2 separate regions of the Mus musculus genome follow, and region 1 is reported to be linked to region 2. Evidence: microRNA targets listed by miRTarBase, many of them from high-throughput screens and not tested one by one. Region 2 holds a microRNA gene; the other region holds the end of a gene's coding sequence.

The links. The annotated mature microRNA mmu-miR-494-3p reads UGAAACAUACACGGGAAACCUC and lies in region 2 at 4,413-4,434, opposite strand. An mRNA with a match to its seed (bases 2 to 7 or 8) in the 3' UTR can be bound and repressed. Matches are read on the target gene's strand: a 7mer-m8 pairs with bases 2 to 8, a 7mer-A1 pairs with bases 2 to 7 and ends in A, and an 8mer does both.
Region 1: miRTarBase lists Atrn as a target of mmu-miR-494-3p. Seed matches in the 3' UTR shown: 7mer-A1 at 4,808-4,814.

The regions. Positions count from the first base shown.
Region 1 is chr2:131,024,240-131,032,413 of GRCm38, reverse strand. It overlaps Atrn (attractin), which reads right to left. Exons shown (of 29, transcript NM_009730.3): 29 at 2,085-6,597. The coding sequence ends at 6,473. Gm30286 (a long non-coding RNA gene) reads left to right here and starts at 6,763. Exons shown (of 3, transcript XR_374979.4): 1 at 6,763-7,399. It overlaps Gm39937 (a long non-coding RNA gene), which reads right to left and starts at 572. Exons shown (of 2, transcript XR_866742.3): 1 at 85-572.
Region 2 is chr12:109,712,323-109,719,800 of GRCm38, reverse strand. Mir494 (microRNA 494) reads right to left here and starts at 4,483; the gene lies at 4,399-4,483. Mir1197 (microRNA 1197) reads right to left here; the gene lies at 7,365-7,478. It overlaps Mir323 (microRNA 323), which reads right to left and starts at 7,293; the gene lies at 7,208-7,293. It overlaps Mir758 (microRNA 758), which reads right to left and starts at 6,991; the gene lies at 6,911-6,991. It also overlaps Mir329, Mir679, Mir1193, Mir666, Mir543 and Mir495.

The DNA of each region.
Region 1 (8,174 bases), not on the chromosome of region 2:
CCAGCTTTTCTCCCTCTAGCTAAAAACTTGTTGCTTTCCAAGTTACTAACCAAACAGCCTCCCACGTCCTGACAGAACCCCCACCTCTAGCAGTCCGCTGCTGTACTTCTCTCACTGCCTGTCATCTGCCATGAAACCAACACCAAATGTTTTCAGTGTAGTAACAGGTGAATGATGCTCCAGGATACAGATCTGGAAAATAAAGGCCCTCATCTCAGTTAGTTTGCCTTGATGCAGAGCTGTAGTGTCTCCTTTGAGCCAAGCATCTACCATCTTAGGGCATTCAGCTGTGCCCTCTTGCAAAGCATCATCCCAGCTAAACTTGTTGACAGCTTACACCCCAGCATAGATGGATGGAGCAAAGCCTGAGATTCTCACCTGAGTATCCCTAACATCTGTTGTATGCAGCTCTGCCTTAACTGCATGTTACCTAGTGGAGGGGCGAGCAGTTGACCTATCTATCTATCTATCTATCTATCTATCTATCTATCTATCTATCTATCTCTGTGTTATATATATTATATATAATCTATCTACCTGGTTTGTGTATTATTTTTTACCCTCTGTTTCAAAATTCTTTTTCTTTTATTATTGGGTATTTTCTTTATTTACATTTCAAATGTTATTTATTCCCTTTCCTGTTTTCCTCCTCTCCTGGAAACCACCTATTCTGTCTCCCCCCACCCCCCACCACTACTTTATGAGGGTGTTCCTCTAAGAAGAACAGAAGCACCCACACGTTGATCTTCCTTTCTTGAGCTTCATGTGGTCTGTGAATGGTATCTTGGGTATTCCAAGCTTCTGGGCTAATATCCACTTATCAGTGAGTGCATACCATGTGTGTTCTTTTGTGATTGGGTTACCTCACTCAGAATATTTTCTAGTTCCATCCATTTGCCTAAGAATTTCATGAATCCACTGTTTTTAATAGCTGAGTAGTTTGTGTATTATATATTATATATACCCTATTTCTGTGTGTTTTATATATCATATATAATCTATCTGTGTATTATATATTATATATATAATATATAATTTATGTGTATATTATATAATCTATTTTTCTAATTTATGTGTATATTATATATAATCTATTTTTCTGTCTATCTCTTTGCATGCCAGGGAAAAATGGAATGGGAGCACCATCAATGTGGGTCTGGGGAAGCCCTCATCCCTGCTGGGTAAGGCTTTTTCAGGGTGTGGATTGTTAGGGGGAGGAGTATCCACACTTCTCTAAGTAACCCCTCATGTATGTTCTGCACGGAAGCCCAATAAACTCACTGGTTTTCTAGTGAACTTTGGTGGAATTGTGCCTTGGTTTCTTGCTGGGACCCTTGAAGGGGCAGACATTGCTTACATTTCTCTCTGGGAAGGAATTTTAGCAACAGAAACCCAGAATAGTTCTTCTTGATCAGGTAGTTTTTGTGAAAGTGGTGGCTCAGGGACCCATGTTCCTTCCAACACTTTAGCCTGTGAACTCCAGGGAAGGCCCCAGATGAAAATATTTTCTGTGCAAAAGTTTGGTGTTATCACTTTTCCAACATTTCATCAGCCATGGCCCAGTGTGGACCCAACCTAACTTTCAGAGCCTGGGCAATGTGGAATTCTAGGTCTTACAAGGTAAGGGAGAATTGACTCGCAAGAGTTGTGCTGACCTCCACTGTGTGCTGTTGCACATGTGTTCACACACACACCCCGTATAGACTGGAGATGACTCATTAGGTAAAGGTTTATGCTGCCAAGATTGAAGTCCTGAGTTTGTTCTTCAGGCCACTTCCATTAAGGTGTTGTTTGCCTTCCACATGCATGCTGTGTCATATATGTACCCACATATGTAGACACAAACATTAAAAGAAGTCCTTAAATTCCTCACTAAACTTCCTAAACTCTGCTTCATAAACTGAAACTCTTTTCAGTGTGGAAGCCAAGAGTCTTGAGTTGCAGTCTACTCTAGGGGATTCCTCAGCTGCCAAGGTGAGAATGCACTGCTGTGCCTGTCTCCTCACTGCTAAAATAAGGACTAAAATGTAAATATAAAATAAAACAAAATTAGCATTGAACATTCAGAACGAAACGCACGCACATTTTTACCAGATCTACTTTTATTTCAGAAGGAACTTTGTATTATAGTATTTACTTTTATTTATATACAAGTGCTTCACATCTGCATTTAAAATGCAGACCCCCTTAATTCTCTTGTTCCTGATGAAATTAGCTGTTATTTTACAATACAAAAAATACCAAAAAATTGCAGTCCTAAATGTATGTATAACCCAACAATCGCAGCAATTAAATAGTTTACAATACTTACTCCATATTTACACAAGTGCGACAGATGCTAAATCACACATAGTAACAAACTAAGCTTGGATCAAAACAAAACAACAAACTGTAAAGAACCAGAAAAGATTTCCAGAGGCAGAATTAGTTCAGCAGGCTTCACTAGTGTTTTGTGCACAGTCAGGCTCTGAGAGCAGCTTCTGTTATTGCCTTTAGTTTCTCCCTGTACTCTGGAGGGCACCCTGAGGGCTCCCTGCAGGCAGGATGTGGAGCTCCAGAGCCTCTGCTCTGCTGGAGGCCAGGCTGATGTCTCATTCCAAAGCTGTGCTGGGAGGTTGTGACAGGGTCAGCATTTCAGATTCCTTCAGGGAGCCAAGGCCACCCTAGGAAGAACCTTCTGGCTTCTTGGTTCTGCTTCCAGGAAGCTATCCTAGGATGACAGCTGTCTAAAGAGCTGGGTTTCCACCTCAGTCACTGCCCTAATGTTAGCTTAGAAGTGTTTAGTAAATATTTGTTGAACAGATCAATTAAAGGACACCAAGGATCAGAGGTTTTCATAAAAACAGCACCATCCCCCAAGGAGGTGACTCATTTCCTTGCCATGCACACTCTGCTGTGTAGAAAGAGGGCGGGCGCTGGCAGGCTGCAGAGTCACCTACCAGAGGCGCTCTGCTTTTCTTCATCCAATTCCCCAACGAGATCCCATCTTACACTTCAAGCTTTCCAGATATTCTGGTATTTTCCTTTTGCTGACAGTCTTCTTCCAGGTCAGGTCAACGGGGCAATGGGTTGCTTTCGTGTCTGTCAAACTCTGTGGACCTTTCAGAGCCCTCTCCAGACTGTGTAGGGAAGACCAGGACGGGGACAGGAGGCTGAGGTGTGGGAAAATAGTGCTATTTATCAACAAATGAGCCCTCCCATCCCCAGATTTTAGTATAAAAAGAACATGGTTCTCAGAAACGTCATTAAAATTTTAGACAAAGCCACAACAGTGCAGCTTAGAGAGCCCCTTTGCAAAGTCTGACGTTCATGGGTGACAGTCTTTGAATGTGAAGAGTAACAGAACACCTCACCCCACAGAGATGCCAGAAATCACAAGGAGCATTTGAAATTACAACAGTGATGAACACTCTTGCTTCCTGAGTTTCTCTAGTATACTGCCATGTAAATAGATAGACTGCCTGGCTCTTCATAGGTTCGTTTGTTTTGAGACAGGCTCTTGCTATGTAGCCCAGGCTATTCTTGAGTTACTTTTGTTTTGTGTGTATTGGGTGTTTGTCTGTGCACCAGGTGGACCACCACAGGCACCCGAGGAGGCCAGAGGAGGGTGTCAGGTTATCTGGAACTGTAGTCACAGAAGGTTGTGAGCCACCATGTGGGTACTGGGAACTGAACTAGTGTCCTGACCAAGAGCAGCCAGTGCTTTTAACCACTGAGCCATCTCTCCAGCCCCATTTTTGAATTTTCTTCCTGCCTCTGTCTTCTGAATGCTTAGATCACAGCCGTGTGTCACCCTGCTTGCTGTCTTCCTAGGTATTCTAAGAGCTGAATCATTGTTCAGTTACCTAATGGGCACAAGGCTACAGAACACACCAGCATGGTGTATAGTGCCTTATCAACAGATCAGGGCCTGGTAGGATAACTTCCCAGAGCTTGGATACCCAGTATATGGCACAGAAACAGATTAGGTGAAACTCAGATGTTAGTGTTTAATAAAAATACATTATGATACTCTTCTGTTTATGTACACCCTGAATGTCTGAACATTCTGGACACTACAGTATAGTTATGTACAAGTGCAAGAGGTCAGTGTCGTCATGACTATTTTATATACATGGTCTCTCGTGACACAGTTACTGGGTCACAACTCCATTCCATCTTGGTAACTGGCTCTGAGCTGAGCTCTTAATCCCTGCCATTCCCCCTGCTCTAAGCCTGAAGGGAGCTGTTGGCTGTAAGGGATGCAGGGGAGCTGGCTGTTTCTCCATTACAGGAGCAGAAATGAACGCTGTTTGCTTCTTTTGAAAGAATAAACAGTTTCCCTGGGGGCAGGGAGAGCATAAACAGGTAGGTGGGAGCCATGGTACATATTACTTCAGGGTATGGGACTAACATAGAAGCAACTTCTTTGGCCAAAGAAATTTGGTCCTTTGAGCAAAGCAGAGGGGAATTCCTTATGGACGGACAAGCCCTAGTGCAACTTCCCTTTCTTTCTTTTGGCCAAGAGTCCCCTGGCTTGTTACGGAGATGAAAGGCTAGACCACGCAGATACTTATGTGCTGGGTTTTGGTAGAGATGTGGGGAGCTCCTAACTGTATAGGGGATGAGGCTGGGATCATTTCTAGAACTTTCTGCTCTTTAATAGTGATGCAAAGAGTCGTGTTTTGAGAGGTGAGCCTTCTAGCAGTGTTTTGTGCATCAGTGATTTATGGTTCAGCTTGGAACTGTCACTCCACAAGAGTCTTGGGAGGAGTGGGTTAGTGCAGGGCTTAGAGAAAGGCTCCCTCTTCAACACTGCATTTAAAGGTGAAACACTACAGTTTTTGTTCTTCTGATTGTTAACTTCTCCAAACTCATACATTTGAGCACTGTTGCCTAGAGGGCTATTCTAGTCAGGTGATAGCAGAACTGTAGGACATGAAGAAGGAGAGGACAGGTGTGTGAGGCTGCTGCATAATGCCAGAATACGGAGCACCATAAATGGGGAAATGCAATGTCCAGGCAGGGTCCTGGGCACATAGCAGAGGGCTGCTCACCCTCCTAACGTGGTAATCTTGTCCCTTCCCATCAACCCATGTGCTTTTCATTCTCATTAGCATTCCCCACCTCCTCACAGCCACCAGCTGGGTCTGGGAGGAGGCTGGACCAACTCCTGCCCAGGGGAGATGGAACCAGGTCCCTTTCCATGTGCTGAGCAGATGCTGCCCCAATGCTAGGCATCATCCCTCTTCTAGTGTGTACTCCATTCAGCCTGGGGATGACCCACAGGTTCCCACAGGTCAGTGCGAGCAGCTGTAGGAAGACAGAGCCAGGTGTCCCAGTTGTCAGTGCTCTTTTCTGCTCAAGAGGCACAGGGCATGAGCAAGTGCATTCTGTGGTGCCTTGGCAAGAGCCGAGGGTTGCTCAAACGTCAGGCCTAAAGTGACACTAGGCTGGGCTGGGGTCACTCAGTCCCTATTAGATGTTGCTTGGGGTGAGAATTACTCGTTCTTGGCTGCAAATTAGACTTTAAAAAAAGAACAAACTGCAATGGTAGTTACTTAAAGTTTACAAGAATGTAGGAATGCAATCATGTAAAAACTTAGGCTTACTAATGTCCAATTGCTAGATCTATTCAAAGTCTAGGCACTTAGTGTGTGTGTATGTGTGCATGTGTGTAAGACAGAGTGAGAGAAAGAGAAGGAAAGAATGGATTAAAATTAATCAAGTTTCTATAGAGAATTATCAATTGCATTTTTTTATATATATTCTAACTCCATTGACCTTGACATTTAGAATAGCCCTCTTTGCTGGGCCTGGTGGTTCATGCTTTTTATCCCAGCATTTGTGAGGCAGAGGCAGGTGGATCTTTGTGAGTTCAGTCCAGCCTGATCTACATAGTGAGTTCCAGGCCAGCTAGGACTACACAGTGAGACCCTGTCTCCAAAAACCAAAACAAAACAAAACAAGGCCCCCATCAATTATACTTTGATATGACTTCCAAAGAGAAAGACCATTATTAATTCTCAGCTAGAAAAAAAGCTACTTCCTGGAAGAGAGTAAAAGCTCATCTTGTAAAAAGACAGCAAGCTTCCGATGAGAACAGTTCATCTGAGGAGTGTCAGAGGACCATGCTGGAGAGCTGCTGACAGAGGGCAGCTCCTCTGCAGTTGAGATTCCCAAGAGAGGCTTCCACAAGGGACCTCAGCATCACCTTCAGCTCTCACGGGGTCGGCACTGGTCTCCTCCACCCATGAGTAGAGCAGACCATTCCTGGACTTGTAATTAAATTATTTCCTACACAGAAGTAAAAGGTTAGATGCTGGACACAGAGGGGTGAGCCATGAAAACAGCTTGCATGATCATGCACATGAGTTGGACGCTTCAAGGGTCCCCAGTCTTCTGCCCCACGCCTGCTTCCTGCCTGCAGCCTCCCCTGTAGACAGCTTCGTGGACCACACGCCCTCTGTGAGGGCGAATTCCTGCCCCAGTATCAAATGCAGGTTCCAGGCTGTGCAGGCGGCTGCTGCTTCCGGTTTCTTACAGCTCCTGACTTCTCCTTGTACACTATTGGCATCTGCTGAGAAATGTCCACCAGGGCACTGGCCACAGCGAGACCTTGGAAGAACCCACAAGAGGGGACATGTGTCATGAAGCAGCTTACTTTTTTACAAAATAATTTCAGATTTCTTTTTACATTTCCCTAGTGAAAGATAAAGGGGTGATGGTGTTAGCTTATTTATACACACCTAACTACTCATTTCTCTCTCCTCCATAGCAGATCACAAAGTCGTGTGCTCTGCCTCAGGGTGGCAAGTGAATGAGAGTGCAGCTATGCTCTGAGCGTGTGCCTACTCCTGCCTGTTTCCAGAAGATAGCAATGAAAGTATCACTACTTCACAGTGAGATGTGCGAGCTACTAAAACTTTGTGTGTATGTGCTTCCTCAAAAAGAGAAAGTACAGGAAGCTTGGCATGGATAACCCTGCTGTGGGGTGGGTCTCCAGAAAGGAGCAGGGTTTCATGAGGATTTCCAAAGAAGCATTGGGTCAAGGGTCAGGAAGGAAAAGCTGCTATATCTCCATGTAAGACCTGCTCCATCTCTGTGTCTTCTAAAGATCTTGCCCTTTTGAAGCAGGAGATGCTGTCCAGAGTGCCCAGAGAGTCACTCTGTCCAAGTAAGGCTAACTCAGAGACTCAGTGCTGGGGGGATGCCAAGTAAGATGAAGACAATGGGTCCTGACTCATCATACATAAATAAGGCTTCCCTTCAGGACTGGACACGGATAAAGGAGACTTTCCTACTAAACTCCAGGTTATTTTGGCTGAGACACCACCAAGTCCCTCAGACCACTGCATCTGAGTATAGTCCTGAGCAGAACACTGTGTGAGGCATTCCTATGCACAGCTTCAGAATCAAGGTATGTCTTTTCATACTGCCTTTGTGTTTAAAGAGAGAACTTTTTCTTTGCAACAGGGTCCCACTATATAGCCCTGGCTAGTCTAGACTTCACTCTGTAGCAATCTTCCTTCTGTGCCTCCAGCTTTAACACAAGGTTTATATAAATTATGACTTACATGTTTGATGGACATGTATAAAAGAATTGGCAAACTATGTAGTAAGTTATAAAAATACTAATGGATGTTATAAAAAATAAATAGTAGATCTATATTTGATCCTTAGCAATACCCAAAAAGAAAAAAAAATTCAAAACTATAAAAAAAGTATATAGTAGGGGCTGCAGAGACGGCTCAGCAGTTATGAGCACTGGCTGTTCTTCCAGAGGACCTGGGTTCAATTCCCAGCACCCACAAGGTAACTCAAATTCCAAGGAATCTGATCCTCTCTCAGAGACATACATGCAGGCAGATTACCAATGCACATAAAAATAAAAGCAAATAAGTCATTTAAAAGAGTATATAGTAGGGGCTGGAGAGATGGCTCACCAGTTAAGAGCACTGACTGCTCTTCCAAAGGTCCTGAGTTCAAATCCCAGCAACTACGTGGTGGCTCACAACCATCCGTAATGAGATCTGATGCCCTCTGCTGGGTTGTCTGAAGACAGCTACAGTGTACTTATTAATAATAGTAAATAAATTTTAAAATAAATAAAATCTAAAAAATGATTAAAAAAAAAGAGTATATAGTAAAAATATTTTCTTCCTATTCCTGCCCTAAAACACCACTGGTACTTG
Region 2 (7,478 bases):
AATCCTGGTACCTCTTAGATGGAGTTTGCACTGGGTTTTGATGCGCTATGGTTGTTGAGCCACGTAAGTATAAACAAAGCTTTTATTCCAACTTGAGCAAAGAAAGAAATAGCTAGTATCCTAGCAAAGGGTTGCCTAAGAGTGATCCCATATCTTGTACTGGCTCAGCTTCGGAAACCCTCCAGGGGAGATGGATGGATGAGGTGTTCTCATACTCTCTGGATTGTATCCTCCCTCCCACTCTCACAAGAGAGCCACCAAAGGGCCCTGCTCAAACAACCACACTCAAAGGCAATTTTGATGCCATGAGGAGGCTACCAGAGAATGTTAGCCATAAAGAGAAGTTCACTAGGGAAAAGGGGTCTGAAGTGCCGCCTTACATCTACCACTCCAGAGGGCAGGGGTACCAGTATCAGAGATAAGAGACAGGCAGCAGTGGCTGATGACAGCTTGCTGTTCCCTGGTCCCAATCGTAGCCAGCACCCACCAGTCCTCAAGGCCTTGCTAATGGCATCAAAGAGCACAGCCCGTAGACATGGCAGGATGCTGGTAAAGAGCTGATCTGGGGCCCAGGCTTTTCTAGAGTCATAGTGTTATGTGACACTCACCAACTGACATATCTTGGTAAAGACACCTGCAGCTGACATCTAGACACATGTCTCCAGAAGGAATTGGTGGTTTGGCTTGTATTGGCTGTTTGATTAAATTGCTATTGTTTGGATTTTATAATTTTCTGGGCTTCTCTTATCTGAACTCCATCCTACAACAGAGCCTAAAAGTGCGCTTCCTGGTTTCCCTTACTGACTGTGCCTGTCCCAGGAGGTGGGCATTCTGGACCTAACAATGCACAGAGCCAAGAGGGGCAGGTGAAATTGTGCTTCTTTGAGGTAAATGCCCCTGTGCACATGGTGACCCAAACCCCCTGGCCTCCCGTCCTCCCTCTGGTCCATGGGGAGCTCTCCAAGGTGAGATTTGATATCGAAAAAGAAGTGCACCATGTTTGTTTCGTCACAAATAAAAGCGAAAAATAACATGGGCAACTTCTTTTCAGGTACCACGGCTGAGCTCTTGCTTGTTCCAGCAGTGTGCCTGAGTGTGAAGGGATGCTGAGGGACAGGCGGAAGGAAGGGATGGTGGGTGAGGCAGATACTTGGCCGGGAGGGGGACAGGGATGGGGGTCCTGAGGCAAGGGGAGTGGCTCAGTACTCATCACTGCCATAGCAATCCAGCCCAAACCCCCTCTACCTCAGGATCTCAGGAAGACCTGGGACGAAGACTGAAGATTCTGAGATGTTGCCTACCATCCTTGCCAGTCATTCTGAAGTGTCACTCGGGGGAAATGGGATGGTGCCAAACTCCAAGACAGAATCTCCTCTCTCAGTTCCAGGATCCTCTTCTGAAGCTGAGAAAAAAAAAAAAAGTCAAAGAACTAGGTGGCAAAATCCAGGGCAGCCTAAACCAGCTGTGTGAGTGCCTGGATGATGCCCTCTGAGGTCCCCCCTCTCCCGCACCCAGAAGTGACTTACGATGTAGACAAATACAACAAAGAGCTCACAGGGTACTGGGAAGCAGAAGAACAGGTTGAAATGGGAGGCTCCAGGATTCTGAGCGTGTGAGATGTCTGGGGATGCAATGTCCGTTCATCATCTTGCGGCTGTCCTGAACGGGACATATGACCGACCCTTCCCTGAAAACAAAACGCATTGATTAGTGTGTGTTACCGTTACTGGAAGGTTACAACACTACAGCAATATATCTGAACCACAAAGGAAAGTGACTTGGTACCAACTACCTACCTTAGACTGGACAATGGGAATAATGAGCAAGAGAACATACCATCCAAAGAATGCCAGTTACACTCATTGACAGGCCACTCAACAAGGAGCCATCCATTCCTCTCATAGTAAGGAAAGGCCCACCTCAAGCTGACTTACACACAAAGGAGGCATCCAGGCTAATATAACTTAAAGGTACAGTGACGTGTTGAGCTTCAAGGAGTGTCGGATGCAGGTCCCAGATTGTACTGTTACTCAAATGTCCCATGGTTCCTCTGGGACAGGCACTTCCCCCTCTGTCTAAACAGCCCTGGGTACTGTCCTCTTGAATTCTAGCTGGCCTTCAAACTCAGGGAACAGTGAGATCCACTCAGACATCTCTCACAGAAATGAAGACTCATTCCCCTCCCAGAAGTCTCAGCAAACATCTCCCTGTGGGCTAAGGTCTCATCTAGGAATCAATAATGTCTGGTCAACTGGTTCCTTTGACACTGTGTTGTGGAGGAGGGAGGAGGGAGCAGGAGCCAACCAACCCAAACCCATTCTCATTAAGAAAGGTCAGAGGACCATTCAAGAAGGGAGATAAACTCACACAACCCAGGCTCACTACATAGACTACTTTCCTAGACTAACATGGCTTCCCTGAAGTCAGTAAGTAGTTGAACCCCCGAAGTCTTCAACGTAGAATAGGATGCTGAAAAAGAAGTGCACCGCGAATGTTTCGTCACATATAAAGCGAAAAACACGCGGGCAACTTCTCATTAAGCACCGTACGTCAGCAGCATGGAACCCTGTGTACCACTTGTGTACCGCTGTCGTCACTTCCTGTGGCTTGAGTACCGCTGTCGTCACTTCCTGTGCGTGAGCAGGCGATCACGCTGCAGCCCCGCTGTACCTAGGGGGCTCTCACAGCTGTGCCCGCTCCACGCAGGCAGAATCAGGATCTTGTAGACAGGCTTTGGATTGGTCATCCTTTGGGGAGGTCTTTGGAGTCTCCTCAAACATCAGAGAATGATATAATAATCCTGACTTTGCTTCCCAAAGTCCAGCTCTGGATCCGTGACAAGAGAGGAGGTGGGTCCCGTGACCTCTCAGTCGAGGTCACCACCCATCTGCTAGAGGGGAGGACATCAACCTATGTTCCACGGTGGAGGCCCTGATGCAAGGAGGTTATCATGAAATGGGAAACAAAAAGATATCTGAGCCTTTGTCAGAACGAGACAATGTCTCCTGGACAAAAATATATGTAAGTGGCATGTGGTGTTCTGAGAACAGATTCTGTTGACCCTCCACTTGCTGGGAAATGGAACATTGAGATTAAAAAAAAAAAAGAACATGAATAAAGATAGACTTCTTAGGTGTTCCAGGTAGATAGTTGGTTGCCTATGCTTGTACACATGTTCTCTCCCTCATGACATGGCTACAGGGCACCTCCCCACCCTTCATTGGCTTGACCAATGAAACATGAGCAGAATCACAGTAGTTCCTAATCTCAGTCGGAGAGTTCCTACTTACTTTCTATGTCTCTGCCATGGCTGCAAGAACCACTTGCCAGGAGCCTGGAGGAGGGGCAAGGAAGCCACCTTCACCCCCAGGGTAGCAATACATCAGGAGGTCGTCCTAGGTATGGAAGGCATACTCAGCATTAGTAAAGAAGGACACACATGAAAATATAATATATTCTTTCAGACAGAACACCATGACATACCTTTTCCATTGATGAGGACTCTGGTGTCCTTCCCTAAGGAGATGTCATATCTGAAATACATCTCCTAGTCAGGTACTTGTGCTGGGAAGCAGCCAATGATTTGAATCCTCAGAAGACAAGCAAAATTGAACAGACATGGAGATGAGCAAGAACAACGAAGCCTATGCCATAAGTGACAGATGTGGGCTTGATGCTGGGCTAGAGAGACCTGTCACTCACCCACCAGGAGAAATGTGCCCCAGCTTGGGATATAGCTTCACATTCAGGGGATCCTCCAGGATGGCGTTGTTTACTGCAAAGATACAGGATCATAAAATGAAAGTCACGCCCATGGTAGCCCCCCCCCAACACACACACACACACACACACACACACTCTCTCTCTTGAACACATATATGTACACACACAAGCAGAAAAAGGATCCCCCTTAAAAGCTAACTCTGCTTGAAATATTTTAGTTTCACGCTGGCCTCAACCCCACCAACATCTTCTTCATAGCTGCCGTGTGCACCAAGGTGTCTTCCCACAGATGGTCTGGGTGTTGGTGGATAGTAAAACGGGTGACCTACAGCATAAATGAAGTGTACGTCACCGGTCTACCATCCACACAGCTACCCCGAGAACAGTGGGCATCATTGTCCCTTCAGTCACGATGCTGGCACGTCCTTATAGCTACTGTGAGGAGGACCTTGCTGAAAAGCCATCACACACCAAGAGTCACCTCACAGTCCAAAGCCATAGGGAGTAGCCTCAGGCCACCACGGGGACCCTGTCCCTTCTTCAAATGACTTTCCTTCCAGGGCTGAGTCCTGATGCCATACTCCCATGTCCCATGTCCCAGAGTCCAGGGAACAGCAGTCCAGGTCCCTTCCCTGAAGGCGTCATCAGGGACAGGGAGTGCCCCCAGGGTGGGATTTGATACTAAAAAAGAGGTTTCCCGTGTATGTTTCATCATAAATAAAGAGAAGACAACACGGACAACCTCTCCTTCAAGTATCAATTAGCACTGGTCAGAAAGCAAACAAAGGCAGCTGGAAAGTGCCAGGTGCCTTGTCAGAAGTGTCTGCTTCTGTGGGCCCTGGAGAGCAACCAAAACCCCTGTGCAATTTGACAGTCCACAGAATTGCCTGAGACTATTTACCAACAACACAGACCACCTGCATTCCTTATCTCTCCAGGTTTAGGGGGGGTCACTGAAGGGAACCAGGGACCCCAGAAATTGTGCCTCAGGAGATAACAGGGGAATAGTAGCTCTCAACTTCAACAAGTACAGTACATTGGGGGTGTTCAGGAATGAGCCTCGGATTCTGGTTCCAAGAGGTAGGTGGGTGATGAGAAGCGACCCAGCCCTCTGGTTGTGAGTCTGGGTAGTTTCCAGGGAAGGTAAGATTCTAAAAGCAGACACATTATAAAGTTAGTAGGAAGGTAAATGTGTGCCAGCACATGTGGTAGTATAAAGAAGCAGCAGGCAGGGGCAGGCAGTTCCACCCCCTGGTCGAGTGGTTCTCAACCTTCCTAGTGCTGTGACCCTTTAATATACTTCCTCATGTTGGGTAATCCCCAACTGTAAAATTATTTTCAATGTTACTTCATAACTGTGATTTTGCTACTGTTATAAATCATAATGTAGATATCTGATATGAAATGCCTATGAAAAGGGCTCATGATTTGCAGATGAGAATTGTGTTCTACCTGGAACCCCACAGAAAGCTCTACTGCTGACCACAACCCTGGGTGGAGTTAAGGACTAAGAACAGATTTCACATCTTTTGTTTATTTGTTTGTTTGTTTGGTTGGTTGGTTGGTTTGGTTTTTTTCGAGACAGGGTTTCTCTGTATAGCCCTGGCTGTCCTGGAACTCATTCTGTAGACCAAGCTGGCCTCGAACTCAGAAATCCACCTGCCTCTGCCTCCCAAGTGCTGGGATTAAAGGCGTGCGCCACCACTGCCCCGCTCCAGATTTCATATCTTAAAGCTCACTGGGCAAATGTGTGTGCCAATTTCAGGTTTGCTTTCCTACTGCTAGAACACTGCTGATTCCAAGTCTCTTATTACAAGGATGTGGGTGTGTGTGAATAGCATGGATCTAGGTACCATCTGACACAGTGGGTGTTCTCTACAATAGACAGTCCTATAGCAGGGGTTGGCTGATTAAAAGCCCATCACCGTGCCTCCAAAGCATGCTGGACATGTGTGGGGGTGGCTGTGTCTAACCTGTTAGAAGCAAAGTGGGTGCAACCTACCTGTGATGACCTGGGGTAGAGTTGCCTCGGTGGCTGCCATCTTCCCCAACTTTGGAACACCATATTGGTTGAGAAGTCCTCCTGAGAATGGACAAGATACTGAAGGTTAGAAGCACAGGCAACAGAAATCTGATGTATGGGATGGGTTTTGTCCGTCACTCACTTGTTCATAACTATTAGTGTGTCCTCAGCTGAGGCTGAGGTATGGACCAGAAGGCCTCCATAGTTTGTTCTGATGGGAAGAGAGGTTGACCAAATGTGTTTCAAACACAGAAACCCCTCTTCCACATCCTCAGTTAACAATAACAATGACACCTTCCCAAACTGGACCTTCAGACCTGGCAGGCCTGGGAGGGTTTAGAGGACAAAGGACACCATTCAGAACGATAATCCACTCGCTGGCTTTGTGGAGAACCAGTTATTCCTGTCCCCTGGCTGGATGCTGACAGGACCATCCTTCCCTGAGACTGGGATCTGGACCACGAAGCCTCCAAGATGGGATTTGATACTGAAAAAAAGGTTAGCTGGGTGTGTTTCATTCTCATCAAAGAAACAGAGACCCAGAAAACCTCTCTTCCGGTACCAGAAGCGAACACTGACAAGACTACCTCGGTAATTCCCCAACGTGACCTTCAGACCTGGCAGGCCTGTTGAATGCAGGGTTGCACACTGGATGTTAGTCAAAGTGCTCAAGCAAGCCATTAGTTGATATATATCTGACAGCCATCCCATCACATGCCCCAGTACAGCAGACCTCCATGGCATGATCCTGAAGTTATGTCACAACCAGAGAGCAGTGGCGCAGTAGAGACTGGCTATAGGACTTACCACCATTTTGGGTAACCACAGAAAGGCACAGATGCCCCCAAACCAAAGATGATTCCTCCCACAGATTTAGCATGCAAGTGTGCTAAGGTGACCTGCGACCTGTGCCATATATAAATGGCATACACACACCCTGGTCATGTCTGACAACATGGTACGTTTCTTGAACTTGGATGGCCCCATATCAAGGAAGGGATCCAAGTATAGGACAGCATTGGAAGCCCATCCAATACTACCATAACAGGCACATATGTTGCAAGTACTGAGGATGCTGTCTCCAAGTCTAACAGCGTACAGCTGGCTTATTGCCTCTGTCCCCAAAAGTTGAGATCTCTTCCAGGAAGTTCTCCAAGGGAAGGTTAGATACTGAGGGTTAGTGGACCAGGTCACAAACGGCACAAATATAGCGTGTGCTCTCTGGTCAACCACCTCACGCACCCACACGTGTATCACATGTCGATGCCACTTTCCTGGTCTGCAAGTCACCCTGCCCACGAAGCTGCCAAGCCAGAGAAATTTGCTGAGAAGAAGGCTGCCACACAAGAGTTATTGTCAGACACAAGAAAAGACAAACCCGCTGGCTGGGTTGCGCTAGCACACACATTTAGTGTCCCCACCCCACAGCTGGTGTTAGCTCCAGGAAAGCTCGCAAGGCGGGATTAGATACCGCAAAGAGGTCGACCGTGTAATGTGCGCCATAAATGAAGCGAACGCGCCACGGACCACCTCTCTCCAAGTACCAAGCAGCAGCAGTAGGAAGACCGGGACACTGGCTCTTCCTCAAAGCAGATGTCACCTCCTGGAAGTCTTCCAAGGCGAGATGTGATATTGAGAAGAAGTAGACCATGTGTCCTACGTCATAAATAAAGCGTACACACCATGGTCAACCGCATCTTCAAATACCTTGAGGTAACGCTGGCTGATTCCA